2 linked regions of the Macaca fascicularis genome follow. The protein of the gene in region 2 interacts with the protein of the main gene of each other region in a pairwise test. Links are inferred from orthologs where the notes say so. Each region holds a gene or a part of one and is shown on either strand. Other genes may lie near its edges.

Region 1 (15,569 bases), on a different chromosome or scaffold from region 2:
GCATTGATCTACTATTGAAAATTAGTTTGGGCTGGGTGCAGTGACTCATGCCTGTAACCCCAGAGCTTTGGGAGGTGAAGCAGGAGGATCCCTTGAGGCCAGAAGTTCAAGGCCAGCCTGGGCAACATAGTGAGACCCCCATCTCTACAAAGCAATTTAAAAATTAGCTAGGCATGGTTTTTCATACCTGTAGTCCCGGCTAGCTACTCAGGAGGCTGAGGTGGGAGGATTGCTTGAGGCTAGGAGTTTGAGGCTGCAGTGAGCCATGATCATACCTTTGCACTCCAGGTTGGGAAATGAAGTCTCTTAAAAAAAAATAAAAAATAAATAAAAAAATAAAAACTTGGCCATATTTATATTTAAACTTCCTGCGCGTTCCTTTAGAGTGCTCCTAGAATGCATAAGTCCTTGGGGCTCCAGGTGTGGGAGGGCACTCCAGGCAGAAGGGAATGAGCCAAGGAATGGAGAAGAGAAATCACATGGCCTGTGGCTGTGGAATGGAAGGTGGCTTGGTCTTGCTAGAGCCCAGGATTTGTGGCGGAGGTGTTAGGTTGCGGCTGTGGAGGTGGTCAGGGGCTGGATCATGGAGACCTGTGAAGGCCCTTGGACTTTATTTTGTGGGTGAGGGAAGCTGCGGATAGGTTTTAAACAGGGGGTGACAGGGTTGAATTTTCTTTGTGATCACTCTACAGGCTGAGAGGGGATGGGATTTGAGCAGCCTCAGACCAGGAGGGAGGGCTCTCAGAGGCTCTAATTCAAGTGAGACGTCAACAGCCAGAAGGAAGGCAGTGGTGGTGGGAAGACAATGCCGTGGGTGGGAGAAATATCTATATGGGAAGTAAAATGAGCAGGAGCAGGTAGTGGATTGGTTCGGAAAAGCAGAGGTCAGTATCAAGGATGTGCCCCAGGTTTCCAGTGTGAATGAACAGGTAGGTAGGTTGTAGTGTTGCCAGCTAAAGTAGAGAAATCAGAATGCAGGCAGTGGTGCTCACCAAATTCCAGGAATGGTGATTTCCCCTTCAGATATGGGAGTTTGAGATGCTTATAGTCATCCTAGGTGGCAAAGGGCAGTAGGCAGCAGAATATAAAAGCTCAGGGACCCAGATCAGGCATAGGAAGTGGTGGCCTGGGGCCAGAATGACTCAATTCCAAACCCAGCTTCATCACTGGAGTGGTCAGTTTTTACGAGCTGGTGTGGCAGTGACAAATGACCCACAAATCATTGGCTTACAACAACAAATGTTTATATCCTCATTGACATCTATGAAGGCTGTGGGGTCAGCTTTACCTTTGTTCTACATTTTTCTCCTTCTGGAGGCCAGTTCCATGTTTTTCTCCTTCTGGAACCCAGGGAACCTCCATTTCAGCCTTGTACAGAGGGAAAAGAGCAGGAGCACAGCAGTGTGATGACCTGTAAAGCTTCTGCTTGGATACAACACATGTCCTTCTGCTCACATTCTATTGGCCAAAGCAGGCCACAAGGACAAGCTGATGTCAATTAGGCGAGGAAGTGTGCCCTTACCACGGCAGGTGTATCATATGGCAATGATCAGGGAAGCATTTCCCCAGTGGAGAGGGAAGAAGATACCTGGGCCAAATAATACAATCCACCCCAAACACTAATCACATAAAATCTCGGGAGTTTACTCAGCTTCTCTCCGCCTTGGTTACCTCATGTGTGAAATGGGAATTACAGTAGTACTACCTCTTAGGATGGCTAAGAGAATTCACTTAGTTTGTACATGTAAAGCAGAACAGTGCTCAATATGGCACAAATGCTATGTAAATGTAGGTGAATGGAGGAGAGGGGATAGGGATTAGTAGTCCATAGGCACAGGGTTTCAGTTTGGGAAGATGAAAACGTTCTGGAGATGGATAGTGGCAGTGGTTGCACAACAATGAGAAAATGCTTAATGCCACGGAACTGTGCACTTCAAAATGGTTAACATGATAACTTTTATTTTATGTTAGTGTATTTTACAACAATTTAAAAAAATGTAGGCCAGGCGAGGTGGCTCATGCCTGTAATCCCAGCACTCTGGGAGGCCGAGGCGGGAGGATCACCTGAGGTCAGGAGTTTGAGACAAACCTGACCAACATGGTGAAACCCTGTCTCTACTAAAAATACAAAAATTAGCCAGATCCCAGCTACTCAGGAGGCTGAGGCGGGAGAATCGCTTGAACCCAGGAGGCAGAGTTTGCGGTGAGCTGAGATCGTGTCACTGCACTCCAGCCTGGGCGACAGAGCGAGACTGTTTCAAAAGACAAAAACAAACAAAAAAAGTAGGTGGATGGGATCATCTGGGGAGAGACTGAAAAATAGGGAAGGTGGTGGTAGAAAGAGAAAACCTTGAAAACCAGCCATGAGAGCAGAAGCGTCGAGAAATGGGCCTACATGAGGGACAGAGAAGGAACATCTAGGACAGATGAGGAAAGCCAGAAGAGGATGATGTCCCCTGAAGCCACGGAGTTGAGTTTCCAGCAGGAGGGTAGATGGGGGTGACTGAGCGTGTCTATGTTGCTTGGCTGTGAACCTGAACCTGAGCCACTGAACCCACCTCTGTTTGGCACCTTGATTTTGGTAGGTCTGCCTGATTCCAGCTCCTGCTGATGTCACTTCCAGGCACTGCCCACACCTGGCCCAGGCTGCATCAATGCAAGATTCTGGCCAGGTCTCCTCTACTGCCTCCCTCTCTCACCTCCCCGTAGCCAGTCCTGTTTTGTCCATTGTTGATATCTTGGTGAGACAAATTGTATTTTAGTTAAAAAGACATAGGGCCAGGTGCAGTGGCTCATGCCTGTAATCTCAGCATTTTGGGAGGCCAAGGCAGGTGGATCACAAGGTCAGAAGATTGAGACCATCCTGGCTAACATGGCGAAACCCAGTCTCTACTAAAAATACAAAAAAATTAGCCAGGCATGGTGGCGGGCACCTGTAGTCCCAGCTACTCAGGAGGCTGAGGCAGAGCTTGCAGTGACAGTGAGCCGAGATGGCACTACATTCCAGCCCGGGCGACAGAGTGAGACTCTGTCTCAAAAAAAGAAAAGAAAAGAAAAAAAGGACATAGAGGCCAGGTGTGGTGGCTCATGCCTATAATCCCAGCACTTTGGGACACAGATGCAGGTGGATCACCTGAGGTCAGGAGCTGGAGACCAGACTGGCCAGCATGGAGAAACCCCATCTCTACTAAAAATACAAAAATTAGCTGGGCGTGATGGCGCATGCCTGTAATTCTAGCTACTCAGGAGGCTGAGGCAGGAGAATCACTTGAACCCAGGAGGTGGAGGTTGCAGTGAGCCAAGATGGTGACATTGCGTCCCAGCCTGGGCAACAAGAGTGAAACTCTGTCTCAAAAAAAAAAAAAAAAAAAAAAAAAAAAGACAGAGAATATGGGATATTTTTTCTTATGTCATTTTTACTACTATTAATATACACTTTTCTACCTTGAAAAATAAAATCTCCAAACTTTGAATTTAAACATTGGGAATGGTTACTTTGTGGTCAAGATTACTCTATTAACAATGTTTTGTTTACAAAACATTGACTATTTGATAGGTCATAGTTTAGGGAAACTGAAAGCTAAACTTTTACAATGAGAAATGAAGACCATGCATTTGCATGGGAGAAAAAAAAATTTGGGGGCAACAATTATATTTGGTACCTACCTTTTGAAAAACTAAAGGGGGACAGCTCTGTCTAGATCATTTCTTGCCGTTTTCTCTTGCTTCTAGACATTGTCTGGTCAATCAGAAGGTTGCACACAAGAGCTGTTGTTGTTCGCTCTGCAAAGAAAAAGGCCTGGGAACTTTGCTTTTTATTGATTTTATTTCTCCAAGAGTTTTCTTACAAAGTGAATTGACCTTGCACAATTAGTTTGATGTAATCTTAAGAAAATACATGAAGTATGCTTTAGAAAAAATCATGCTCTAACCAGCCATCTCATTTGGCAATCATTTTCCACAGCTCTTGCCCTTTTTGGGGTGGAGAGGTGGGGTTACATGTGAATGATTACATCTGCGTACAAGAGATCCAAACTCACGTTGACCTCCCTCTGCAACACCAGCTGGTGTTGGGAGACAGAGCGCTGAGGCAGCCAGGGCTTCAGTCCCTCATGCTCTTTGGCCAGCAGTCCTCAAGTGGCATCTCCAGAAGACCTGGCTGAGGTCTGGGCAGTCCACACACAAAAACCTAGCATTTCCTCCCACAATAACAGCATTTGTAGAACACACAGCAAGAGCTTAAATCCATGCCATGGAGGAAAAGGGATTTTCTCGTCCCCCTTTGCAGTCACAGGACACTGTAGCTAGAGAACCTTCTATGCCAGGGTTCCGCATCTCCAGGCCCTCATCCGAGCCCTCCTTATTATCTCCCCTCCCCTCCAGAATGTAGGGGACACTTTCTAGACTCTATGTTGTTTCCAGCCCATAGTTGTTCAGCCCAGCAACTGGGCATCTGGAGAGGTTTTCAATCCACAAATCGTGGATTTAAAGGGAGTAGCTGCTCCTTTTCTCTGGAGCACAGCCCAACAGCCCCTGCTATATCCCTAAATTGATTTTGATTTTGAAGCAGCAGGTGCTGTCATGGGTTCATTCTTGTCCACCCAGTCAAGCCTGTGTGGACGGGCCTATATGGGGACACAGAAACCTACATGAGGCTATTTTTCTGTCTTCTCTAGTCAGTGCTTATAAGTGTCCCCACTTAGCCAACAAATTTGGAGATAGGGATGGGTTTCTGGCTTGCAGCAGCTGAGTTGCTGTCCTTGACTCTCCACATTCTGATTTTTCTTGGGGTTTGGGGACAACTAAGGGGCCCCAAAGCCTCAGATGTACAGCCCATAGAGGAAGGTGGGCAAGGGCGTGTGTCTCCATCATTTCCTTCCTTTTGAAGCATTTACTATCCGAGTCGCCAGCTGGTTCCAAAGCGTCTCTCCCACCAGGCCAGGTGGTGTCCAGACCAGAAGGAGGCCTGGCTGACACAGGAGAACGGCAGTAGGAGGAGGCATGGGTGGCAGCCAAGAGACCCTGAGAAGCAGTGTCTCTGAAGCTGTTTCCAGATTCATCCGGCCTGGTAGGATCTCTGTCTGATTCCATGAGAGTGTGGGAGCAAAGGCCCTAGGGAAGAGGCTGCTAAGAGGTTGGATAGAACTTCCTGGACAACTCTAAGACTCCCAGGAATGCTGGGCAGTTTCATATCTAAGAGTCAGTGAAAGATGTGGAGAGGCTGCCCCGGCTGGGGAAGGAAGAGGGTAAAGGTGGCATTGGGGTGGGGGTAGTTGGGTAGGGGGCTCAGTCCTTAGTCATTTTTCCTCCACGCAGAATCTCACTCTGAACTTGGAGAGGCTGCAGAGTCCCCATCCTCGGGGTCCTGCCCATTGGGGGAGATGGGCTGACCTCCCTTCACACGCTTCCACTTCATCCTTCGGTTCTGGAACCACACTTTGACCTAGGGGAGGAAGCAAAGGAGCCTGGGCACTCCAGGGCTGGTGTGACCTCCTTCCCATGTCAATGCTCAGGCTAGCCAGGGTGTAACTCCAGGGACCCCAGCTTGAAACCATCACTTACCACTCTCTACTCCCCAAACGCCCCAGGAACTAAGACCAAAGAGAGGACACACCAATCTGCCCAGAGGTCTGTCTTGTGTCTTGGGATAAAGCCCCAGACAGGGGAACATGTTCTAAAAACACTCTGCATTGGCCCCACCCTCTTCACATGCCCTGCCCCACCTGTGCCAGGTCCCCCTGCGCCCTACCTCCATTCCCCAAGGGTCTGGGAGCAGAGGTCATCAGCCTTATCCTTAGGCACATTTATAGAGAACTTTTTGGTTTAGATAGCTCTGGTCAGCACATTTTCTCATCTAAGCTTGAGTATTACCTGCAGGATTATGGTCCCATTTTACAGATAGAGACCCAGAGGTCCCAGGGCTAGAAGAAGTGATAGAGGCAGGACTTGAATCTAAGTCTTCTGATTCAAAATCCAGCCCTCTAGCAGAGCGCTCTATCAACTGAAATCTGCTATCAAATATTACTGTTATTATTACTATTATTCCATATCAGAGCCTGGGTGTGGGGGTGTGGGGTGGCTGAAGGGAAAGTCCAAAACAAAGGGCCAGGGAAGTTTTTCTCAAAGTGTGCCCAGGAACCAGCTGCATATCCAGATCGCCTAGAGAACATACTAGAAATACAGATTCTCAGGCCCACTCATTATGGTAAAATCTCTCTCCAGACCTCTGGAATCCATATTTTGAACAAGTGCCTTAGAGGATTCCAACATATACTCAAGTTTGGGAATAGCCAGACCAGAGCTCCCAACCTAACTGCATATGAGAATCACCTAGGGGGCCTTTGAAAAATTCTGAGGCCTGTATCCCATCCCAGGCCAATTAAAATCATCCCTAGGGGTAGAGCCCAGACATCAGCACTATTAAAATCTCCCCAGGGGTTGGGCATGGTAGCTCACGCCTGTAATCCCAGCACTTTAGGAGGCCGAGGAGGGCGGATCACCTGAGGTCAGGAGTTTGAGACCATCCTGGTCAACATTGTGAAACCCCGCCTCTACTAAAAAAGAAGACAAAAATTAGCCAGGCGTGATGGCGCATGCCAGTAGTCCCAGCTACTCAGGAGGCTAAGGCAGGAGAATTTCTTGAAGCCAGGAGGTGGAGGTTACAGTGAGCTGAGAACGCACCACTGCACTCCAGCCTGGGTGACAGAGCGAGACTCCGTCTCAAAAGACAAAAAACAAAAAACAAAAAAACCCAAAACTCCCCAGGCTATTCTCAGGTATGGCCACAGTTGAAAACCACTGGACTGGCTGGAGGAAGAAAAAGAAGGTGAAGGGAGTGGTGGTGGGAAAGGAGGGAAGGGAGGGAGATGGGAGAGCAAATAAGAGGAGGGGCCGCTGGGGGCGCACCTGGCGCTCAGAGAGGTCCAGGTTTACCGCGATCTCGTATCTGCGGAGCCGAGTCAGGTAGTTATGATGGGCAAATTCCGCCTCCAGCTCTCGCAGCTGCTCCTTGGTGAAGGCCGTCCTCTCCTTGCGGGCCTTGCTGCTGCCCTCCGGCTTCCCTCTGTTCTCTTGGTTGTCTGGGGAGAGAGGACCCCAAAACAGGAAGACATGGGCTGAAGGAGATTCCATTCCCTTTCTTTTGCCCTTGAGCAACTAGGCAGTCTTTCCCACTCTCCCTTAATTTTACAGGATGCTGAGAAAAAAGCTACACTGTCCTTTTTATTCCTTCTGGTGTCTTACCCATATTAGAACTGGGAAGGTTTTTTTTTTTTTTTTTTTTTTTTTTTTTTTTTTTTTTTTTTTTTTTTTTGGCTGTCCCCTGCCCCTCCTCCCGGAACTTTCTTTTATTCCCAAAGCACAAGAAGCTACTCTTGGCTGTTTAATGATCTCTACTCCCCAGCCCACCCCCCAGTATGACATTACTTGTGGTCATAGGCTTGAGGGGTGAGATGCTCTAAAACAAAGCCTCAAACTATGGTCCTCAGATCAGCAGCATCAGCATTACTTGAGAGATTGTTAGGAATGCAAATCCTAGTCTCACTCCAGACCTACTGAGTCAGAAACTCTGGGGATGGCGCTCAGCAGTCTATTTTTGCAAACCCTCCAGATGCCTCTGGTGCTGTTTAAGTCCGCCGCTCTAAGACCTCATCACTCAAAGGAGTGCCTGGGTGCCAGCAGCATCAGCAGCACCAGGGAGCTGTTCAGATCTGAAGGATCTCAGGCCTGCCCCATACCTACCTACCGAATCAGAATCTGCCCCAGAGGGCCAAATCTGGAAAACCATCTGGACCCCTCTGAAGGAGGTTGCATGTTAGATTCAGTGGGGCTCAGTCATAACTGTCAACAGGGTCAGGGAACACACTCTGTGCCAGGTGCTGTACCTGACATATATTAGCCTCTTAATCCTCAATAGCCCAACCAAGTGGTTCTAGTATTAGTCTCACTTTATGGACCAGAAAATGAACACAGAGAAGTTAAGCAAATTGTCCAAGTTTATTCAGCCAGGGGGTGTGGGAGACAAGAATCAAATTCAGGCGATTTGACATACACATATTGTTCAAATGAAAAATATGTAGGGGCCAGGCGCGGTGGCTCACGCCTGTAATCCTAGCACTTTGGGAGGCCAAGGTGGGCGGATCACGAGGTCAGGAGTTCGAGACCAGCCTGGTCAACATGGTGAAACCCCGTCTCTACTAAAAACACAAAAAGTTAGCTGGGCATGGTGGCACGCGCCTGTAATCCCAGCTTCTTGGGAGGCTGAGGCAAGAGAATCGCTTGAACCCAGGAGGCGGAGGCTGCAGTGAGCCGAGATCACGCCATTGCACTCCAGCCTGGGCGACAGAGCAAGGCTCCGTCTTGGGGAAAAAAAAAAAAAAAAAAAAAAAAAAAAAAAAATATATATATATATATATATATATATATAGGAAGGGCTTACAAACGATAAAGTCCTGAACAAATAAAAGGGGTTGCATGGTTATCTCTTGAGCAGACGGGTGGGAGGCAGCTCTACCTTCACTTTAATGAATGGAGGTGGTGGGTGGAGAGGAGGTGGGAAGAAGACCACACACCTACACAATTAACTCGCGATGCATGCCACATGGCCAGGGAATGGCTGCAGGAGCCATGCGTGCGCGGCTTTAACATTTAAAAGTCGTTGGCTTCATTGTCCTCCTTTTTCTTTTGTTTTTGAGACGGAGTCTCGCTCGGCTCACTGCAAGCTCCTCCTCCCGGGTTCACGTCATACTCCTGCCTCAGCCTCCCGAGTAGCTGGGACTACAAGTGCTTGCCACCACGCCCGGCTAATTTTTTTTTTTTTTTTTTTTTTTTTTTTTTTTTTTGTATTTTTAGTAGAGACGGGGTTTCACCGTGTTAGCCAGGATGCTGTCTATCTCCTGACCTCGTGATCCGCCCACCTCGGCCTCCCAAAATGCTGGGATTACAGGCGTAAGTCACCGCGCCCGGCCCATTGTAATTTTAGACACGGAAACCGTGGCTCCGAGTGAGGTGCTTTACCGAAACCTGCGCCCCAACTTCCTGCTCCCTGAAAGACCCATCTCTGCCTTGCTGGAGAGGAGTGTTGGAAAGAGGGATCCGGTGTTTTCAGAGGCCGGGTTTAAGCTACCTGGGCGGCTGGGCTGGGGAATTCAGACCAGCTAGTGTAATGCAGAGAAGCCGCCTACGCAGTCGGCTAAGCAGCCGCATTGGGAGTGGGTGGCGAGGCAGAAACCCCACATTAACCCGGCTATCCGCTTTGGAGCTTTGAGCCTAGCTGGTTCCCCTCCCAGCACCTCCCTCTATTGCTTTCCACTCAATCCCTTTGTATTTCAGTTTCCGCGTCCTCCGCCTCCGCGCCCGTCTGCCTCGGGCTGGGCTGCTCTCTAGCAGTACGCGCGCGGTAAAGTGATTTGGGCACTTGGCCCGGCCAACCTCGCTTTGCGCGTTCCCGGCCCCCGCCGAGGCATGGAAGGGGAGTGGGTGCCGCCGTTCCGGGAACCCGAGAAAGCGGGGGAGGGGCCTGATAGTCCCGGTGCCTGATAGTCCCGGTGCCTGGGTCAGGGGTGTCGTGGCGCCCTGGCCCGGGGGTCCGCGTCCGAACCGGGTTGGCCGCCCGCGGGGCGCGCCCGGGAAGCAGGGCAGGGGGCCGAGTTCCCGGCGCGGGCTGCCTGCCCGGCGGCCTCTAGCTCCAGGCCGGAGAAGGCAGGTCCAGACCCCTCCGGAAGCGGGAGCGTGGGCTGGAGGGAAGGACGCGCAGCCCCGGGCCGGGGTCCCCGAGGAGCCCTCCGGCCTTGGCCGCCGCCAGTCCCGCGCTCCCTCCTGGCAGCAGGCCCGGGAGGGTCGTTCACAAGCGGATGACGGGCTTCCTGTAGCACAGCCCGGCCCTCGGGCCTGGAGAGAGGCAGGAAACCTGGGCTTAGACGACGGGCGCGGTCGGGGACTGGTTTCCCAATCTCCTCCTGTCCCGAGGCTCAGTGTTTCCCAGCCCTTCCTTTCCACGGTTGCGGGGAGTGGATGGCCCAGAGGACTTGCTCAGAGGCTTGAATCCTGAATCTCCTTGCTGGAGACTGAGGAAATCACTTAACTTCTCTGGGTGTCGGTCTCCTCATTAAGAAATTGAGGAAAACAATTTCACCTACCTCCTAGGGTTATTGGAAGACTGAACGCGTTAATATGTGTGTGCAAAATGCTATTAAAGTTGAAAAGTGGCGGCTCACGCCTGTAATCCCAGCACTTTAGGAGGCCAAGGCAGGCGGATGACCTGAGGTCAGGAGTTCAAGACCAGCCTGGGCAACATGGTGAAACCCCGTCTCTACTAAAAATACAAAAACTAGCCGGGCGTGGTGACGGGCACCTGTAATCCCAGCTACTCTGGAGGCTGAGGCAGGAGAATCACTTGAACCCAGAAGGCGGAGGTTGCAGTGAGCCGAGATTGCACCACTGCACTCCAGCCTGGGTGACAGAGTGAGAATACATCATAAAAAAAAAAAAAAAAAAAAAAAAAAAAAAGCCACGAGCGGTGGCTCACGCCTGTAATCCCAGCATTTTGGGAAGCCGAGGTGGGTGGATCACCTGAGGTCGGGAGTTCGCGACCAGCCTGACCAACACGGAGAAACACCGTCTCTACTAAAAATACAAACAAACAAAAAAAATTAGCCCAGTGTGGTGGTGCATGCCTGTAATCCCAGCTACTCGGGAGGCAGAGGCAGGAGAATCGCTAGAACCTGGAAACCGGAGGTTGCATTGAGCCCAGATTGCGCCATTGCTCTCCAGTCTGGGCAACAAGAACAAAACTCCCTCTCAAAAAAGAAAAAAAAAATCTAAAAATGCTGGACAAATATATTCTCCAATTTATCAGTTCCACGAGATGACACTGAAGGGCTAGGATAGAAACAGCTGCGCTTCTTGAAGGCTTCTGAGTGTGCCCAGAGGCATCCGCAGCTTTAACCTCACCACAGGGCAGCCTATGAGTGAATACTGTTCTTACCCCCTTTAGTACTCTTACCTGGGTTTGTGTGATAATTTGATTAATAGCTGTCTCCCAGGGAAACACTTTTTCTCACTCTAGCATCTAGCCATAGTTGCTTCTGTATCTGGCACAACTGCCCCCCCCCACCCCGCCCCCACCAGTTCTGCACATAATTCTCCTAGAGAGAAGAGGAAAAAGTACTTGCTAAGTATTTGCTAAATCATCCTGTTATACAGAGGAGGCAGCCTCAGACAGGCCCAGGAACTTGCCCAGTGTGCCTGGCAGCTTTTAGGTGACAGAAGGGAGATTTGAACCCAGATCTATCTGATTAGAAGCAAGGCTCTCCACTGTCTCCTGGCTAGCTGGCCCAGGTTGGGGCCTGGAGCTGGACCATGGCTGCTCGGCTTGTCACCACTTCCAGAGGTCCTGGGGGCACTATCCGATTTGCTACCCATACCTACTCTCCAAGGCCTGCTTAGGTGTGTACAGGTGCCTCATGGTGTCCCCCAAAACAACTTTCCCCGCCCTAGTTCTGCACATAGTCCTCCCTAGAGAGAAAAGGGAAAAGCAGGAGAGGACCCTTTTGGAGTTGGTCTTGGCCTGGTTGTGTGGGCAGGGCAGCTGACCACTGCCAGCCAAGCTATGCCCCATCCCTGGCCACCTCTCCTGTCTGTCATTGTCCTGATTTAGCCTCTGGGGCAGAGGAAACAGGAAGCAGCAGCCAGGGCGGGAACTGAGGGTCTCAGCTAACCCCCTGTGTGAACCTGGGGGCAATACCTACTAATGGTGGGTGGGATGGATATTGGCTCTGGGAGAGCGGTTGTCCCTTGTCAGCTTCCCAGAGTGGGATCAACGTTCACCACTGTTGGAAATGATGAAGGGACCAGAAGTATGGGAAGCAAGCTATGAAAGTTGAAGTGAAAGTTATGGCTCTCTTTGTTCTGCAACAGTATTACAAATTGCAACATATTCATCAAGATGGAAACACTAAGAGCACTTGCATTCCGTTTCTGGGAGCTGTTCGGTCATCCTGCTCATGGGCATAGTTCGTGCAACCTGCCACATGAAAGTAACTCTTGCTAGGCCAGGTGTGGTGGCTCACGCTTGTAATCCCAGCACTTTGGGAGGCCGAGGCGGGCGGATCACAAGGTCAGGAGATAGAGACCATCCTGGCTAACACAGTGAAACGCCGTCTCTACTAAAAATACAAAAAATTAGTTGGGCATGGCGGTGGGCGCCTGTAGTCCCAGCTACTCAGGAGGCTGAGGAAGGAGAATGGCGTGAACCTGGGAGGCGGAGCTTGCAGTGAACCGAGATCGTGCCACTACACTCCAGCCTGGGCAATAGAGTGAGACTCCGTCTCAAAAAAAAAAAAAAAAAAAAAAGAAGGAAAGTAACTCATGCTTCCCAGGATGGTCTGTTCCCAGGATAGTAGGATAGTACAGCTTTGTTAGGGAGCCTTCCTCGCCTCTGTGGGCCTCAGTTTCCCCATGTGTAGAAGTATGGGATTGGAGTGGATTCTATTTCTGCCAGGGAGCTGGTGTCAGAGTTCCTTCCCAGGACATAAGCCCTGATGCCCTACACTCCCTACTCTCTCTTCTGTTGGGAACCCCTAGCCTTGATGAAGTCTGAGGCTCTTCCAACTTCACATATTCTTGTCTCAGCTCCTAGTTCCTCCCTTCAGTCAGATCTGAGGTCTTACTGTATGCTCTGTCCCAAAGCCCTCCCCAGTCTTCCCGTGGCTCAACAATCAGGGCTCTGCTAGGCCGTTTCTCTCGCCCTGCCTCGAGCTGTGTGGAGGGAAGTTATATATGCAGAAGTGTTAGAGGACCTGTTGGTGAACCTGGGCCTTAGCACTCGTAGGTGAGTGAGGCACTGAGGAAGAGCTTTTGGACCTTGGGCAAGTCCTTTAGGTTCCTGGAGCTTCAATTTCCTCATTTGCAAAGCAAGAATAGCTACACCTGCTGTGCTTATCAGGCTGAGAAGTAACATGAGCTGGATAGCAGGCGTTAACACCTAGGGCAGTGCCTGGCATGTCATTGAAGCTCTGTTCACGAGAACCATCAGAAGGAGTTCTACTGGAGATTATATCTGAGATGACTCATGGGCAGAGTTAGAGCACTATGCTCCTTAAGGCACCACATCTCCAGACCTGTGTGAAAGGGTTATCTTTTAAATGTCTGGCCTTTCAGCTGCTGCTGCTTCTTCTTCCTTCTTTTCTTTTCTTCTTCCTTCTTCTTCTTCTTCTTTTCTTTTCTTCTTCCTTCTTCTTCTTTCTTCTTTCTTCTTTCGCTGAGTCTCACTCTGGTCACCCAGGCTGGAGTACAATGGCCTGATCTCGGCTCACCACCACAACTTCTACCTCTTGGGTTCAAGCGATTCTCCTGCCTCAGCCTCCAGAGTAGCTGGGATTATGGGCGCCTGCCACCATGCCAGGGTAATTTTTGTATTTTTAGTAGAGATGGAGTTTCGCCATGTTGGCCAGGCTGGTCTTGAACTCTTGACCTCAGGTGATCCACCCGCCTCAGCCTCCCAGAGTGCTGAGATGACAGGCATGAGCCACTGCACCCAGCCTAGGCCACTATTGCTGCAGCCTTCGGAGTCCCATGATTCCAGGCACAACACCTAGATGTGTCACATGGCAATTCACATCACTCCTCCCGCACTGCTTCTCTCTTGGGGGCCACAGCTGCCTCTTCCAGGATTACGGAGGGAGGATGCTGGCCCTCAGTGGGCTGCCTCTGTGGTTAGGGAGGAATTGCCCTGCCCCAGCCCCTGCATGACCCTCACCCTCTGCTGGAGCAGGGCTGTGAGGGAACAGTCAACTGCCCAGAGAAATGCAAACAGCGTATGTGTGATTGAGGTTTCCACCATGAGCTTCCACACCATCCAGGGCAAATTATTTCATACGTAGCTGCCACATTTGGCAGGCCTTCCTAAAGTGAGCAGACAGCTTTATCAGAGCTACGGGGAGGTTCAGACAGACCCAGTGGAACATGCCTTTCTGGAGTTCTGTACTCTACAGTCCAACTCTGAGGGCACCAATTTACATAAATTCATATCCAAACCAGACAGGAGGCCAAATGCCTCATATTCAAATAGCACTGTGCAGTTGACAAGGGATTTCTTTCCTCCAAAGAGAACTTCTTTTAGGCTTTCACAGATACTACAGAATCATAGAAAGTAGAGGTGGGAGGGACTTAGAGATGATCAATGTCACCTTTTCATTTTATAGGTGAGCCTAGAGAAGGTAAGGAACTCATGTAAGGATACACAGCAAGTTAGGGGCAGAATTGGGCCTAGAACTCAGATTTTCTTGATAGGAAGCTGTTTCCACCCTATTGGGCTGTCTCCTATCGTATCCTCTTAATTATTCCATTAGGTAGGTAAGGTACACATTAGCCCATTGAACATACGAGCAATTAAGACTCAGAGACTAAATGACTTGCCCAAGGCCCCTGAGACCAGTCTAGGGCTATAGCCTCGTGTCACACTGCCCTCGGGAGAGGATGAGTATGGAAGCTGTGCCTATCCTAGGGGCATTGTCTGGGTCTGGGTTCAGATCTGTCTCCCTGGGACTCCCCAGAGAGGGAAGAAGAAGGGAATATTTGAAGCATGACATCAGTAGGTGAAACCTTGGCAAATCCTCTGAAAATGGTGTCTGTAGCTTCCTGCACTGTCACAGCATGGACACTTTGATGTCCTCGTAAGCTCTCCTACTTTCAACCTCAGAAGGAGCAGTCAAAGCCCATGGAAATAGACAAGACTTGGATGGAGCCAGCCCAAGACTGGTTGGATGTTCACATCCAGGATCTCCCTGGCTTCCTGGGGTTGGCCTGACTCTCTCACTGAGCCCTGCCCCACCCCCGTGTCCAGGCCCTTTTCCTCTCCTGTAGGTGCCTAAAGAGACATGGGCAGGGCTCCCAGCCTCTCTGAGGAGCCCAGGAGTGGGGCCAGGGAATTCAGGGGATGTTTCATGGGAGAAAGGCAGGTTCTTCTGGAATGAAAATGCCTAATGCTGGCTGGGTGCGGTGGCTCACGCCTGTAATCCCAGCACTTCGGGAGGCTGAGGCGGATGGATTATGAAGTCAGGAGTCGAGACCATCCTGGCTAATATGGTGAAACCCTGTCTCCACAAAAAATACAAAAAATTCGCCGGGCATGGTGGTGGGCGCCTGTAGTCCCAGCTACTTGGGAGGGTGAGGTAGGAGAATGGCATGAACCCAGGAGGCAGAGCTTGTAGTGAGCCAAGATCGCGCCACTGCACTCCAGCCTGGGTGACAGAGCGAGACTCCGTCAAAAAAAGGAAAAAAAAAGCAAAAAAACCCTGGTGCTATAGTCTTTGCTGAGAGTCCCAGGTGGGGTGGGTTGGTGAGGGTTTCAAGAGGGGATGGGGAGGTTTCAAGAGGGGATGGGGAGAGGCATCGGTAGTTCTGGGTTTTGTTTATGTTTATAAGTTCCATATGTCACCCTCAGCTGTCACCAAAGGAAGTGTGGGCTTGAGACCCAGGCCCACTGCTCACACTGTTCCTCTACCTTTGCATGCAAAAAAAAAAAAAAAAACCTGAAAAGGATGGGGGTGGCTCCTGGCCAGAGGCCAGCG
Region 2 (16,484 bases):
GCCCACCACCATACCAGGCTGATTTTTGTATTTTTAGTAGACACAGGGTTTCACCATGTTGGCCAGGCTGGTCTTGAACTCCTGATCTCAGGTGATCCACCTGCCTTGCCTCCCAAAGTGCTGGGATTACAGGCATGAGATACCATGCCCGGCCCACATTCTTTAATGTTACATGTTTTATATATGTGCATATATATACACGAATGCATGAGTATGCTCTTCACTCTTCTAAATACAAATAAATCCATTATTCAATATTTTCCCGTCGTCTATTCTGGAATTGAGGTTTCATTCATTTTTTCTTAAATCCAGGGCTTCATGAAGGGAAAGTGAAGTTTTTATAAGCTATTGTATGTACCTTTTTTTAAGGAGTGGGAGGAGATGGCCTTTGAGAAGTTGAGGATTTTCTCCCAAATTCCTTTGTAGCCTGCAACAGACTGAATTCTGTTCCCTTAAAATTCACATATAAAGCTCTAATTCCCAGTGTGACCTCGTTGAGGACCGAGTCAGCCAGCCCTTGATCTTGGGCTTCCCAGGCTCCAGAACTATGAGAAATAACAGTCTGCTGTTTCAGTCACCCACCTATGGCACACTACAGCAGCCGGAGCTGACTCAGGGGTGGCTCTGGCCCTTGGTAATTGTGTGAGCTTAGGCGAGGCCCTCAGCCTCTCTAGACTCTTTTGTTTTCTCATCTATAACATAAGGACAAGGGTGAGTACCTGTCTTCATGAGTTGTTTTGTAGATCATGTGCAAGAAGTAAGCGAAGTGGTGAGGACTGGGTGAGGGAGAGAGAGCCCTCAACACAGGGAGAGCACCTGGTTGCAGGGGGAGCCTTCAGTACAAGAGATTCAGTCTGCCATCAAGTGGCTCTCCGCACTGTTGACCGTTCTCAATCATTGAAGACAGAGGAGGTGGGGCACGGTGACTCATGCCTGTTATCCCAGCACTTTGGGAGGCCGAAGCAAGCAGATCACTTGAGGCCTGCAGTTCAAGACCAGCTGGGGCAACATGGTGAGTCTCCGTCTATACAAAAATACAAAAATTAGCCGGGCATAGTGGTGCACACCTGTAGTCCCAGCTACTGGGGAGGCTGAGGTGGAAGGATCACCTGAGCCCGGGAGTGAGCCATGGTCACACCACTGTATTTCAGCCTGGGCAACAGAGTGAGACCCTGTCTCAAAAAAAAAAAAAAAAAAAAAAAAGAAAGAAAAAGAAAAAAAAGAACGTGCGTGTGTGAGAATAAAGGAAAGCCAGAATCATCAGCCGGTGTTTTCTGTTTCACTCTCACAAATCTCTGTGCAGACACCACGGTGACAGAGCTTTAGTCCATCTCTGCTCGCCTGGGGCAGAAGAGCAGGTGTGCCCTCACCTCCTGTCACTGCTCCTTTTATGTAGATTCCTCAGCGAATCCAGTAAGCCCTGCAGGCCACCTCCATGAATAGTTCTGTTATTTAAAGACCTTTACTACCAAAGAAAGATGACAACAGCCAAGTAACAGAGAGCTTTATTTTCATGTTGCTGCTCTAGCTTCATTCACCTGTTGTCAACAACCGGAGGGAGTTCTCCACAGCCCTTGATTCCTGAACTGTTCAACGTGTCAACAGTCACAAACACACTGACTTAAGGAGAAACAAGCAGCTCTTCTCTACGGACCACTGGGCACCCCAGGAAGGCGCAGCTCCCTGCTCCACCCCCGCCTCTTGGTGTCTGTGTCCAGCAGGAAGGACCCGGCAGGAGGCTGAATCCAAGCACTGCTCTCAGGTCACTCTATCCTCATCCCTGGATCCTCCAGGGGAAGAGAAAAAAAAAACAAAAAAAACAAAGAACCACCTGTTTTCCTGCTTTCCAAAATGGAGGGCCTTAACATCAACCAAAGTTACAAAACAAAAGCAAAACACAGGAGCTGGCTAGGAGCGGTGGCTTACACCTGTGGTCCCAACATTTCGGGAGGCCAAAGTGGGAGGACTGCCTGAGTTGCAGGAGTTCAAAACCAATATGGCAAGACCCCATCTCTATAAAAAGTAAACAAAAATCAGCCAGGCATCACAGCACATGCCCGTAGTCCCATCTGCTCTGGAGGCTGAGGTGAAGACTGCTTGAGCCTAGGAGGGCAAGGCTGCGGTGAGCCAAGCTCATGCCACTGCACCCTAGCCTGGGAGACAGAGCAAGACCCTGTCTCAAAACAAAAACAAAAACAAAACCCCACATCACCTGCAAAGCCGTGCTGGGAGCTCAGCCATTTCCCACAGGCTTGCTTTTGCCTTGCCCCAGTGCCTTCTGGGAGGTTCTCCCCTTCCCCATCATCACGATTTCTCTCATCTTTCACTATGATGCAATTCAATAGGATGAATTCACTGAACTAGAAAAGGATAAAAAGAATCTAATCCTATGAAAACTCTGCTTTCAACATAACTCCAGGGAGGTGATTATTATAATCCTGGCACCCCGACATACACTACCCTCTGCACCCCATCCCTGCCCACATCCTCCTTTCTGGACACTTAGACGTCAGGTTCCCCAAGGGCCAGGTTCCAGGAAGAGCACCACGAGTTCCTTAGGAGAACTGGCGCTGCTCCGGCTCCTCTGACAACTGGGGCTGGCACTGTGGGCACCACCAGGTGACCCTCTGGAACCCACCTGGGGGCCCAAACGCCTCCTTCATGACCTGGTGGCCAGCAGGGCACTGTTCTTTCTGGTAGACCTGCGTGTGCTGCGGTCTGCCCTGGAACTTGCCCTGCAGCCAGGCTGTACTGAACTCCACCACGTGATCCACCAGGGCCTCCCGACGCGGGGCACTCAGGGCTGAACCAAGAGAAAGGGGATGGATCCCAGCTCTGTACAAGACTTCATTCTTAATGATGTTCCCTGAAATAAAGCAGGGGAGGGTAAGCGAAGGAGAAAGGACACATGGCACGATGAAACCACCCACAAAGTTAGCACGGCAGAAGTCAGCTCTTCCACGTCCTGTGGGACCCTGGGCAGGTCCGCGATCTCTGACTCCGCTTCTCTGTCTGTAAATTGGAGTTGACAACTCCTACCTTTAAGGTTGCTGTGAAGATGAAATGAAACTCATGCATGGCCCGTCATGGCAAATAGGCTATCAAAAAGGGGTCGGGCATCTGACTGCCTGCACTTGAATCCCAGCTCAAGCAGATCCTACCCACGTGACCCTGGCAAGCTCCTCAGTCTCAATTAGCTGCAGTTTCCTTATCTGTAAGGCAGGGATGGCTCACCTGGTTTTTGTGAGCAGTAAATGAGAATTCACTAAAAAACGCTGAGCACAGTGGCTGGTATGTAGAGTACTCAATAAATATTAACTGTTGTTATTATTTAAAATGTCGGCCTGGTGCCGTAGCTCATGTCTGTAATCCCAGCACTTTGAGAGGCCGAGGCGGGTGAATCACTTGAGGCCAGGAGTTCAAGACCAGCCTCGACAACATCGTGAACCCCATCTCTACCAAAAATACAAAAATTAGCCAGGCATGGTAGCACCTGCCTGTAATCCCAGCTACTCAGGTGGCTGAGGTATGAGAATCGCTTGAACTGGGAGGCAGAGGTTGCAGTAATCTGAGATTGTGCCACCGCACTCCAGCCTGGGCAACAGGGCGAGACTATCTCAAAAAAAAATTTTTTTTTAATTAAAAACAAAATGTCAAGCATAGCTAGGCACAGTGGTTCATGCCTGTTATCCCAGCACTTCGGGAGGCAGAGGCAGGAGGATCGCTTGAGCCCACAAGTTGAAGACCAGCTGGGCAACATAGTGAGAGCCTGTCTCTACAAAAATTTTAAAAGTTAGTGAGACGTGGTGTCATGCACCTGTAGTCCCAGCTACTCAGGAGGCTGAGGTGGGAGGATCGCTTGAGCCACAGAAGTTGAGGCTGCAGTGGGTTGTGTCTATGCCACTGCACTCCGGCCTGGGCGACAGAGAGAGACCCTGTGTCAAAAAATAAAATAAAATGAAATACCAAGCATAATGCTCGTTATGTAGAAAGTGTTTGGGGAGGTGTTATCTTATGATTTTTCTACTCCTGCTTCATTCTCTGTGAAGCCAGCCTCGATCCCTCCTTCCAGAATCAGTAACTCTCTTTGGAATGTTCCAACCATACTCTTTCAGCTCCACCAGGCATTCATAGCAATCTTTCCTAACTCGCAGTGGACTGAGTCTGTGCTTGCTGGGACATTAAACAATGATCTCCTTAAGGAGAGATGGTGAGCGTGACAGAGGTCAAGGGAGTGTCTGTGTGTTTGGAGTGAGCAGGTGAAGGAAATTCTTGCTTTTTCCAAGAGCCTCATAGTCACACTCCTCATTACACACATCGATCTCTCCAGAATTCGTTGACAGAATACCTGGATTCACATCTCAGCTGCACCGTGTACTAGAGATGCGTTCTCTGCTTCAGTTTCCTCATCTGAAGGAAGGGAAACCCACTATGACCATCCTATGGATCAGCACTAAGGACAAAAACATGTGCCTGGCACATCAGAGCTGCTTGGAAAACACTGGCCATTATTAATTACTACTGTTACTTTATTAGCTCTTGCCACATATACCCAAAAAGCCACTTCCGATGGCTCTTTGCTCCTGAGGGCACAGGGACTCCCATGGTCCTAACATGAAAACGCAAGGCTAGTGCCTGGTGCACCACCGGGCCTTCTCCGACCCTCGTGAGGGGAGGTGAGCAGGCAGCAAAGCCACATGTTGGATATGGAGGTGACTCTGTCACCACCAACTTGCCTGATTGCTTCAGCAGCCAATTTTGGGCACAATTATTCCCCTGCTGTGGGTAGTAAGAATGGCACGCTCTCATAGTCCAGCTAATTAGCTGTTACATGTATTTTTGAAATTGTTCCTCTCTTCTCCCTATTCTGAAATGCTCACGGTTTCACTGCTCATGCCACTGCAATAGAGAGAGGGAAACTCTTCTTCACTCGTGTCTTGTAAGAACCCAGTGTAGACTGAGTCATCTGTGCATCCACCCAAGAGCAGCATCCCTTAGAACGTGCACTCACTCCTCTGGTAGTAGCCTGCACGACTTCAGTCCCTACAGATACGGGTCAGGCACCTCCTGTGTGCCAGGCACTGCACTGTGCTGTGGAGGGTACAGAGGTGCCCGAGACATGACCCTGCCCTTTAGGAGGCGATGTTCCAGCGCTGCTGGCAGAAGGCTCACAACTGATAACACAGTTAGGGTGTGGATTCTGAAGCCCAGAGACAAGCTAAAAACTGCCTGATCTAATGCCCTCAGTCTAAAAACAAGGGAAGTAAAACAAAGGAGATTAAGCAAGTGGCACCTCAAGACCAACAGCACTGGCACAACTAGGGTGGGCCTCAGGTCTTGTGACTCCCACAGGAGCGACTTTTCCATGAAGCAAGTCTGTGGACTCACCCCTTTCCCATGAGTCATACCTAGCCCGGAGAAGTATCTCTGGTCCAGCAGTGTAATGCAGACAGGCTGCGCCTGGCCTAGAGCTTCTAAGGCTTGTCCTCGATGGAACTTCTCAGACAGGATGTCACAGGCGGGTGTGACCACGGGGGAAGAGCTCCAAGACATCTGACAATTATAAAATGCCAGGAAGCCACCACCACTAAAGTACAGGACCAACCTGGGAAGAAAGAACAGGTCATATGTACACATCGCTGCCACAACATAGTCAGAGCACACTCTGTGGTCGGATCATACACACATCCCCACATCCCCACATCGTTACCGTGATATAGTCACAGCACACTCTATGGTTGAATCATACACACATACACACATCCCCACACTGTTACCACGATATAGTCAGAGCACACTCTGTGGCTGGATCATACACACATCCCCACATCGTTACCACAATGTAGTCAGAGCACACTCTGTGGTCGGATCATACACACATACACACATCCCCACATCGTTACCATGATATAGTCAGAGCACACTCTGTGGTCGGATCATACACACATCCCCACATCCCCACATCGTTACCATGATGTTGAGGTTGATATAGTCAGAGCACACTCTATGGTTGGATCATACACACATACACACATCCCTGACTTACAATGGTTCACTTTTAATTTTTGATTTTATAATGGTACAAAATCAATGCACACTCAGTAAAAGCCATACTTTGAGTACCTATAAAACCTTTCTTTTCAGTGCAGTATTCAATAAATTACATGAGATATTCAACATTTTATAAAACAAGCTTTGTGTTAGATGATTTTGCCCAACTGTAGGCTAATGTAATTGTTCTGAGCACATATAAGGTAGGTTAGGCTAAGCCAGGATGTTTGGTAGGCTAGGCATATTAGACGCATTTTTGACTTATAATTTTTTTTTTGAGATGGAGTTTCATTCTCATCACCAGGCTGGAGTGCAGTGGCACTATCTTGGCTCACTGCAATCTCTGCCTCCTAGGTTCAGGCGATTCTCCTGCCTCAGCCTCCCGAGTAGCTGGGATTACAGGTGTATACAACCACACCTGGCTAATTTTTTGTACTTTTAGTAGAGATGGGGTTTCATCATGTTGGCCAGGCTGGTCTCAAACTCCTGACCTCCGGTGATCCACCTACCTCGGCCTCTAAAGTGCTGGGATTACAGGTGTGAGCCACCACACTTGACCTAATATTTTCAATATTCCATATATCCTTTCCATATAGAAAGGATATATAAAGCTAATTTTATTTATTTATTTATTTGGAGACAGGGTCTCGCTCTGTTGCCCAGGCTGGAGTGTAGTGGCACAATCACAGCCCACTGCAGTCTCAACCTCCCTGGCTCAAACTACCCTCCCACTTCAGCCTCCCAAGTAGCTGGGACTACAGGTATGTACCACCATACCTGGTTAATTTTATTTTTATTTTTTGTAGAAACAGGGTCTTCACTATGTTGCCCAGGCTGGTCTCTTACTCCTGGGCACAAGTGATCCTCCTGTCTCAGCCTCCCAAAGTGCTGGGATTACAGACAGGAGTCACTATGCCTGGCAAGCTAATATTATTTATTTCAAAGACCAACAAAGTAGATAAAACTCAGGCAAGCCTATTAAAGAAAAAAGAGACAAAGCAAAATAAATATAAAACATGTAAATGAGAAAAGAGACATAACCAGGTAAACAGAGATTTAAAAATAATGGCATGATACACATTCACTCTATGGCAACATATCTGAAAACCTAGGAGTGAGCCTGCTTCGTGGAGAGCATTTCAATGCCTCCAGCTGGTGACTAATCCAGGACTCAGCAAAGGGCAGGCTCCTGATGATGAGAGGTTTGCTGGAGGTTCTAAGAAAACTTTCCTCATCTGAACTTCTAAAAATGATCTTCTCATCTTCTGGATTTTTCAGTGTAAATAAAATCCTGGAGCTGCAGTAGCCTTTTGCTGCTCGTCTAAGGACAAAACCAATGTGTGGAAAGTGCAAAGCCAGGAGAATCACATGAAGTCAGAACCTCAGAACTGCAACCCCAAAGCCTACCCTCCTTCTGAACTTCCAGTCATGTGAGCCCAAAATCTCTGGACCACAGAAGCCCAAAGCATCCTATGGTACCTACATCATGCCACAAAAAAAGACTACAGTTCTAAACATTTTTACAAGTTATAAAACTTCAGAAAATAGAAGTCATGTGACTTTCTCTGGGGGTAGAAGGGACCTTTTTTTTAGTAAAAGGGGAAGCCTATGAGCAACCAAGAAAAATACCCACCATTGACGACATACAAATTTCAAATCCCAAATGCCAACAGGCATCATAAGCTCAAAGGACAGAGGACAGACTTCAAACAATGCTGGCAACACATGTCACAAAAACAAACAGACTTTCGGTCCAAAGGCTTCGATAAATTGATAAGAAGTACACAAACAACCTAACATTCATGCGATTTCAGCTCACTAGCACTTTCCTAAGGCCATCAAATGTACAGCCCTAAGCATGTGCATTCCCTCTGAGCAGCAATTACTCCTCTGGAAATTGACACTGAGCATATGATCCTAAACCTAGAGTTTTATGCACAAAATGTTGATCTCAACATTCATAGATTAAAAACTGGGGCCAAGCATGGTGGCTCACGCCTGCAATCCCAGCATTTTGGGAGGCGGAGGCAGGCGGATCACTTGAGGCCAGGAGTTCCAGACCAGCCAGCCTGTCCAACATCATGCCACTGCACTCCAGCCTGGGCCAACAGAACAAGACTCCGTCTCAAAACAAACTAAGAAAACTCATCAAGCTGAACACTTAAGATCGGCATTCTATTGTATGTTAATTATATCTCAATAAAACATAAACACACAAACAGTATACTTAAAACTGGGAAAATCTTGTCCCTAAACTCAAAGCACACAAGTCAGGAGTCAGGCAGTAAAATGTTCTTCAGGGACAGTCCACTCTCAAGTGCCACATTTTTTGGGAAAATTCTCCCCATCTCCCAGCCACCTCTGGGTGCACAACCCTCTCCTGCATGCAGACCACGGTCTACTTCCTGTCACTGGTAGATACAGAGGTGGCCTCACTCCCCAAGACAGCAGGGCCGTGGGGGGCAGCCTGGACGTCCTCAGTGTGACCCCACTGCTTAAGTCCCAAACCCCATCAAGCAGGGCCCTATGACTATCAGAGCCCCTGAGAATCAGATGGCCACACCATTACCTCGGGGAAGGGTCCCTCCAGTCCCCCCTCTTGTTGGCTTTCTTGGCTCTGGAGAACTCGTTCACCCAAACGCTGCCAAACAAACCAAAGCTGACACGCAGCCACCTCCCAGCATCTCCTGCAGGGGCGTCTCCCTCCAAACACTCAGATTCATCCTCTCCCTGGGGGTTGAGCTCTGCAGACTGTGAGGATCCATCAGGCGTCTTTTGCCCACTGGGCTCCCCGGCCTGCTTTGGGTCCGCAGCCCCTTCCTTCTGCGCTTCTTTTTGTGGAGGCTCTGGCGGTGGGCTGCTGCCAGGGGCCTCCATTTCTTCATCTGGATCAAATCTAAGGAATAATTTCTTTCCATGGACCTAGAAAAAATGAACAGAGATCTAAGCCTTACAGACCCAGAGGGGAACGGGCGAATGCAGATATTTATCCTATTGCAAAGGTCTTCCTTCTCGCCCCTCGCGGGGAGCCTTCCCAAATGGAGTCTTGGGGTTCTGCCTTTTGCTCTTTTGCTCCAGTGGTGTGAGCAGTTCGCATGTGGTTTTCAAAGTGACTGGGAGCAAGTAGACTTGGTTGGCAGGAAACTGACCCATGCTAGATGGCAGGACCACCCTGGACAACCTGAGGGGAATCGCTCCCAATTTTTCCATGCAGTAGCTAAGAAATGAACATAAGTTGTCATTCCTTCATTCCATTCATAATACATTTTCTATGCCAGAAATAAGTAGTGCATGGGAATGCACACACAGAGCAGCTAAAGACAGCACACTATAAAACTGGGTACCCCACGCTACCCCCTCCACCAGTGCATTGGACTTAATAAGAAAACTGTAATCAATAAAAATTAGATAGTGAAACAAAAATTGACCAATGAATCAAATCACCACTGTAAAATGTACAAGGCAAAGGACCCACCTTACCTCACTGAAAAGGATTTCAGTAGAAGAAAATAAATACAGAAAATGTGTGTTAAAGGATGTTCTGGCTGCTTTGAGTTTATTTTCTTTTTTTTTTTTTCCAGATGGAATCTCGCCTAGACTGGAGTGCAGTGGCACCATCTTGGCTCACTGTAGCCCCCATCTCCTGGGTTCAAGCGATTCTCTTGCCTCAGCTGCCCAAGTAGCTGGGACTATAGGTGAACACCACCACACCCAGCTAATTTTTATTTATTTAGTAGAGACGGGGTCTCACCGCATTAGTAAGGTTGGTCTCGAACTCCTGACCTCAAGTGATCTGCCTGTCTTGGCCTCCCAAAGTGTTGGGATTCCAGGCATGAGCCACCACACCCAGCCTTTGCTTTGAGTTTATTTTCATGTTACACCTCCTGATATGCAGTATGTATGTCTAGATTCCAGGATGTGTCGGTTCTACACAGCCTGAAATTCGGGCTGTCTTTCAAAGAGTATAAGCCAAAGCATCTGGCATTAATACCGGAAACGCCTGTGTCACTTTTTTGACCGCTACAGGTCTGTGCTTAAAGATCACTGTTCTGGGCCGGGCGCGGTGGCTCAAGCCTGTAATCCCAGCACTTTGGGAGGCCGAGACGGGCGGATCACGAGGTCAGGAGATCGAGACCATCCTGGCTGACACAGTGAAACCCCGTCTCTACTAAAAAATACAAAAAAACTAGCCGGGCAAGGTGGCGGGCGCCTGTAGTCCCAGCTACTCGGGAGGCTGAGGCAGGAGAATGGCGTGAACCCGGGAGGCGGAGCTTGCAGTGAGCCAAGATCACGCCACTGCACTCCAGCCTGGGCGGCAGAGCGAGACTCTGTCTCAAAAAAAAAAAAAAAAAAAAAAAAGATCACTGTTCTGATACGATCTTTACTTGTTAATTAGCATACAAATTAATCTTGAAATCCTCTACACAAAAGAGCATTACCTTTCGAAATAATCCCAGAATAGCTTATCTGTAAATCTGAGCACAGATTGTTATTTGCTACATATTAGAAATGGTTTAACTGACCTACATAAAAAAAAAATTGAGCAAGGATTTAAGTGAGCATAATAGAATCTGCTGCAGAAAATATTTCTTGGCATAAATTCACCAATGTTGATATAATTCTGATGAAAATAACTGTCAAATGCCCATGATGATCAAAACATTTACTAGGTCAATAATATCTAGGTCAAGATGTCCTCATACCCTCTCCAACTATGGCAATTTCTACTGTCCCTCTTTTAGGTTCCTGTGACATTGCAGCCACTTCAGTTCGCTAATCATTAATTAAGCTTATTCAATGTGCCTGGCAGTGTGCTAGGCTCCAAGGGCAAACAGATGAGTAAGGCTCTGCAATGGTTTGAATGTGTTCCCCAAAAAGTATGTGTCAGAAACTTCATCCCCAATGGAACAGTGGTAAGAGATGGCCCCTTTGAAATTAGGCCATAGGGCTCTGAGCTCCCGAATGGAATAATGCCAATTGCAAATGACACGGCAAGATGCCAATGCCATGCCCTTGGACTTTGCAGATTCCAGAACTGTGAGCTCTATAGACTTCTATTGTTTATAAATTACCCAGTCTCAAGTATTCTGTAATAGCAGCAAAAATAGATTACAACAATCTCCAATGTTCCCTTATCTGTAACATGGGTGAACTTTGAGGACTTTATACCAAGTGAAATAAGCCAGTCAAAAAAACTCCAAATACTGTATAACTGTATAATTCCACTGATATGAGGTAGCTGGGGGAGTACAATTCATAGAGACAGAAAGTAGAAAGGCGATTGCCAGGAGCTGCAGGAAGGGAGGAAAGGGAGAGTTAGTGTTCAACAGGTATGGCGTTTCAGCTTGGGGAGATACAAAAGTTCAGGCAAACTGTTACACAACGTGAATATACTTAACATTACTGAACTATATACTTTAAAATGGTTAAGACAGTAAATTTTGTTATGTGTTTTTCATCACAATTTTAAAAAAAATTTAAAAGGCGGGCGGGCGCGGTGGCTCACGCCTGTAATCTCAGCACTTTGGGAGGCCAAGGCTGGCGGATCACGAGGTCAGTAGATCGAGACCATGGTGAAAGCCCGTCTCTACTAAAAATACAAAAAAATTAGCCGGGCGCTGTGACGGGCGCCTGTAGTCCCAGCTATTCGGGAGGCTGAGGCAGGAGAATGGTGTGAATCCGGGAGGTGGAGCTTGCAGTGAGCCGAGATTGCACCACTGCACTCCAGCCTGGGCGACAGAGCGAGACTCCATCTCAAAAAAAAAAAAAAAAAAAAAAAAAATTTAAAAGGCGGTGGGGGTGGGCGGGGGGACAAGTATGAAAACAGATACTACAAGAGCATGGAGAAAAGTGTGGGTAGGCCAGGCACAGTGGCTCATGCCTGTAATCCCTGCACTCTGGAGGCCAAGATAAGAGGATTGCCTGAGCCCAGGAGTTCGAGACCAGCCTGGGTAACAAAGTGAAACCCCCATCTGTACAAAAAAAAAGAAAAGAAAAGTGTGGGTAGAAGCAGAGGTAGCACACAGAAGAAGAGTCTACAGCATGAGGGGAAGCTGGCAGTACCTGGGCTGGGCTTCACAAGAAGAGTGGAAGGCAGAGGAGACAGGGAGTCCCCAGCTGAGGGGACACACCTGAACGCAGAGGCGGAAACCCCATACTGGGAGGGGGAGCTCCTGGTCAGACACAGCAGCTAGGGCATGCGCTGTTAGCACTGCTCCCAACAAACCCGCTATAGGAACCAAAGAGCTCTAAACCCTCGGAGGTTTAGAGGGTTTAAATCAAGAGGAGGAGCAGACAGGAGATACAAATTCCCTCCAGAAGATGAGGAACAGGCACAGGAAGGGTAACTGACAAGGCAGAGCAGAGACCCCTGCTGTAGCAGAGGGGGACCCCAAGGAAGAGGCAACCCAGGGAACCTACCCACCCTGAACCCAGGTGAGCTGGAGATAGGCCCCAGGTACTATGGCAAGAGGTTAAAAATGGAAGGATTAGTCCTCATACACTGCTGGAGGGATGATAAAATGGTGCAGCTGCTTTGGAAAACACTACAGAAGACACTAAAAAAGTTAAACGTACTATATGGTCCAGCAATTTCACTCCTAGGAATAGTCTCAAGAGAAATGAAAACATATGTCTACACCAATGCTTGCACGTGAATGCCCACCGCAGCATTATCCATAGAAGTCAAAGAGTCGAAACAATCCGAATGTCCATCAACTGATGACCGGACATCACTGACTATAAAATGTATGATATGGTTTGGCTGTGTCCCTACCCAAATCTCATCTTGAATTTTAGCTCCTATAATTCCCATGTGTTGTTGGGGGGACCTGATGGGAGGTAACTGAATCATGGGGGTGGGTTTTTTCCCATGCTGTTCCCATGATAGTAAATCTTACAAGATCTGATGGTTTTATAAAGGGCAGTTCTCCTGCACATGCTCTCTCTTGCCTGCTGCCATGTAAGACATGCCTTTGCTTCTCCTTTGCCTTCCACCATGATTGTGAGGACTCCCCAGACATGTGGAACTGTGAGTCCATTAAAACTCTTCCCTTTATAAATTACCCAGTCTTGGTTATGTCTTTATCAGCAGCATGAGAACAGACTAATACTGTAAACTGGTATCCGGAGTGGGGCACTGCTGTAAAGACACCCCAAAATGTGGAAGCAACTTTGGAACTGGTTAACAGGCAGAGGTTGGAACAGTCTGGAGGGCTCAGAAGACAGGAAAATGTGGGAAAGTTTGGAACTTCCTAGAGACCTGTTGAATGGTTTTGATCAAAATGCTGACAGTGATATGGACAATAAGGCACAGGCTGAGGTGGTTTCAGACGGAGATGAGAAACTTGTTGGGAACTAGAGTAAAGGTGACTCTTGCTGTGCTAAGAGACTGGTGGCATTTTGCCCCTGCCCTAGAGATCTATGGAACTTTGAACTTGAGAGACATGATTATGGTATCTGGTGAAAGAAATTTCTTTTTTTTTTTTTTTTTTTTGAGACAGAGTCTTACCCTGTCGCCCAGGCTGGAGTGCAGTGGCATGATCTGGGCTCACTGCATCCTCTGCCTCCCAGATTCAAGTGATTCTCCTGCCTCAGCCTCCTGAGTAGCTGGGACTACAGGTGCCTGCCACCATGCCTGGCTAATTTTTGTATTTTTAGTAGAGACAGGGTTTCACCAGATTGGCCAGGCTGGTCTCAAACTCCTGACCTTGTGATCTGCCTGCCTCGGCCTCCCAAAGTGCTGGGATTATAGGCATGAGCCACCACGCCCAGCTGGTGAAAGAAATTTCTAAGTGGCAAAGCATTCAAGAGGAAGCAGAGCACAAAAGTTTGAAAAATTTGCAGCCTGATGATGCAGTAGAAAAGAAAAACCCGTTTTCTGGGGAGAAATTCAAGCTGGCTGCAGAAATTTGCATAAGTAACTAGAAGTCAAATGCTAATCACCAAGCCAACAAAGAAAATGTCTCCACAGCATGTCAGAGACCTTCATGGCAGCCCCTCCCATGACAGGTCCAGATGCCTAGAAGGAAAAAATGGTTTCCTGGGCCAGGTCCAGGCCTCATTGCTGTATGCAGCCTAGGGGCTTGGTGCCCTGTGTCCCAGCCCCTCCAGCCATGGCTAAAAAGGGCCAATGCACAACCCAGGCTGCTGCTTCAGAGGGTACAAGCCCCAAGCCTTGGTGGTTTACATGTGGTGTTGAGCCTGCGGGTGCTCAGAAGTTAAGAATAGAGGTTTGGAAACCTTCACCTAGATTTCTGAGGATGTTGGAAACAACAGGATGTCCAGGCAGAGGTGTGCTGCAGGGGCAGAGCCCTCATTGAGAACCTCTACTAGGGCAGTGCAGAAGGAAAACACAGGGTTAGAGCCCCAGGGCAGAGTGTTCACTGGGGCACTGCCTAGTAGAGCTGTGAGAAGAGGGCCACTGTGCTCCAGACCCCAGAATGGTGCCAATGTAAAAGGGGCCAATGTACAACTCAGGCTGCTGCTTCAGAGGGTACAAGCCCCAAGCCTTGGCGGTGTACATGTGGTGTTGAGCCTGCGGGTGCTCAGAAGTTAAGAATGGAGGTTTGGGAACCTCCACCTAGATTTCTGAGGGTGTATGGAAACGCCTGGATGTCCAGGCAGAGGTGTATTGCAGGGGTGGAACCCTCATTGAGAACGTCTGCTAGGGCAGTGCAGAAGGGAAATGCGGGGTTAGAGCCCCGGTGCAGAGTTCCCACTGGGGCACTGCCTAGTAAAGCTATGAGAAGAGGGCCACTGTCCTCCAGACCTCAGAATGGTAGATCCACTGACAGCTTGCAGCCTGCTCTGGAAAACCCACAGACCCTCAATGCCAGCCTTGAAAGCAGCCAGGATGAGGGACTGTACCCTACAAAGCCACAGAGGCAAAGCTGCCCAAGGTCGTGGGAGTCTACCTCTTACATCAGCGTGCCCTGGATGAGAGACATGGAGTCAAAGATCATTTTGGAGCTTTAAGATTTGACTGCCTTGCCGGATTTCAGACTCGCAAGGGGCCTGTAGCTCCTTTGTTTTGGCCAATTTCTCCCATTTGAAACAGGTGTATTTACCCAATGCCTGTACCCCCATTGTATTTAGGAAGTAACTAACTTGCTTTTGATTTTACAGGCCCATAGGTGAAAGGAACTTGCCTTTTCTCAGATGACACTTTGGACTGTGGCCTTTTAAATTAATGCTGAAATGAATTAAGACTGTTGGGGACTGTTGCAAAGGCATGATTGGTTGTGAAATGTGAGGACATGTGCTTTGGAAGGGGCTGGGGGTGGAATAATATGGTTTGGCTGTGTCCCCAAATCTCATTATAACTCCCATGATTCCCATGTGTTATGAGACGGACCCAGTGGGAGGTAATTGAATCATGGGGGCTGTTCTCGTGATAGTAAATAAGTCTCGAGATCTGATGGTTGTTTTTGTTTTTGTTTTTATTTTTAAGATGGAGTCTTGCTCTGTTGCCGAGGCTCGAGTGCAGTGGTGCGATCTCAGCTCACTGCAACCTCTGTCACCTGGGTTCAAGCAATTCTCCTGCCTCAGCCTCCCAAGTAGCTGAGATTACAGGTGCCTGCCACCATGCCCAGCTAATTTGTGCATCTTTAGTAGAGATGGGGTTTCAACATGTTGGCCACTCTGGTCCCAAACTCCTGACCTCTGGCGATCTGCCCACCTCTGCCTTCCAAAGTGCTGGGATTACAGGCATGAGCCACTGCACCTGGCCTGATGGTTTTATAAATGGTAATTCCCCTGCACAAGCTCTCCTGCCTTCCACCATGTAGGATGTGTCTTTGTTTCCCCTTCGCCTTCTGCCATAATTGCAAGGCCTCCCCAGCAACGCAGAACTGTGAGTCCATTAAACCTCTTTCCTTAATAAATTACCCAGTCTTGGAAGGGGAGAGTGGAAGGAGCTTGTTTTCCAATGTTGCTCCTATACCACCCTGGACTGTTCCATTACCGGAGTGGAGGGGGAAACCCTGAGTTGTAGTAGTCGTTTTTTTCAGTCTGTTACAAGTAATCCAATACGACTCCTGATACAGAAAATGGAGAGCTGACAAGGAAAGGATGTGCCAGACAAACAGATGGCACAGGGTGGAGCCAAGCTCTCTCCTGCCTCATCAACTTGTCCTGCTCACTCTACCTCCATCAGCCTGCCTGTAACTGCTTCTCAAGCCTGAAATGCCCTTTCCTTCCTCTTCAGTCCACCGAAATCCTTCAGCCTTCAAGGCCCAACTCAAGTCCTACCTCCCGCGCATCATCTCCAGGCCACTGGGACCTCTTCCTATCAGGGCCATTACCTGGGCCTTCATCATGTGCTCTGCCCTCCCCATTTAGTGTAGCTTAATAGTGTGGCCTGCGTCGACACAGGCCCTATGTTCTCAATGCAATTCTAAGTTCCTAGCGTCAGGGATCCACCGACAGGGAGA

The links.
Region 1: the proteins of NEIL2 (region 2) and MEOX1 interact in binary tests that used the Homo sapiens proteins (3 or more experiments, as listed by UniProt). The two-hybrid records come from large-scale screens. The link is inferred for Macaca fascicularis from reciprocal best matches to the Homo sapiens genes NEIL2 and MEOX1.

The regions. Positions count from the first base shown.
Region 1 is NC_088390.1:64,669,531-64,685,099, forward strand, and holds the end of MEOX1 (homeobox protein MOX-1), read right to left. Parts: intron 7,080-15,569; coding exon 6,907-7,079; intron 5,444-6,906; coding exon 5,321-5,443; coding exon of another isoform or gene 5,298-5,320; 3' UTR 3,808-5,297; downstream 1-3,807. UniProt on the Homo sapiens protein: Mesodermal transcription factor that plays a key role in somitogenesis and is specifically required for sclerotome development. Required for maintenance of the sclerotome polarity and formation of the cranio-cervical joints.
Region 2 is NC_088382.1:9,124,650-9,141,133, forward strand, and holds the end of NEIL2 (endonuclease 8-like 2), read right to left. Parts: intron 8,974-16,484; coding exon 8,621-8,973; intron 5,606-8,620; coding exon 5,409-5,605; intron 2,867-5,408; coding exon 2,556-2,866; 3' UTR 1,488-2,555; downstream 1-1,487. UniProt on the Homo sapiens protein: Involved in base excision repair of DNA damaged by oxidation or by mutagenic agents. Has DNA glycosylase activity towards 5-hydroxyuracil and other oxidized derivatives of cytosine with a preference for mismatched double-stranded DNA (DNA bubbles).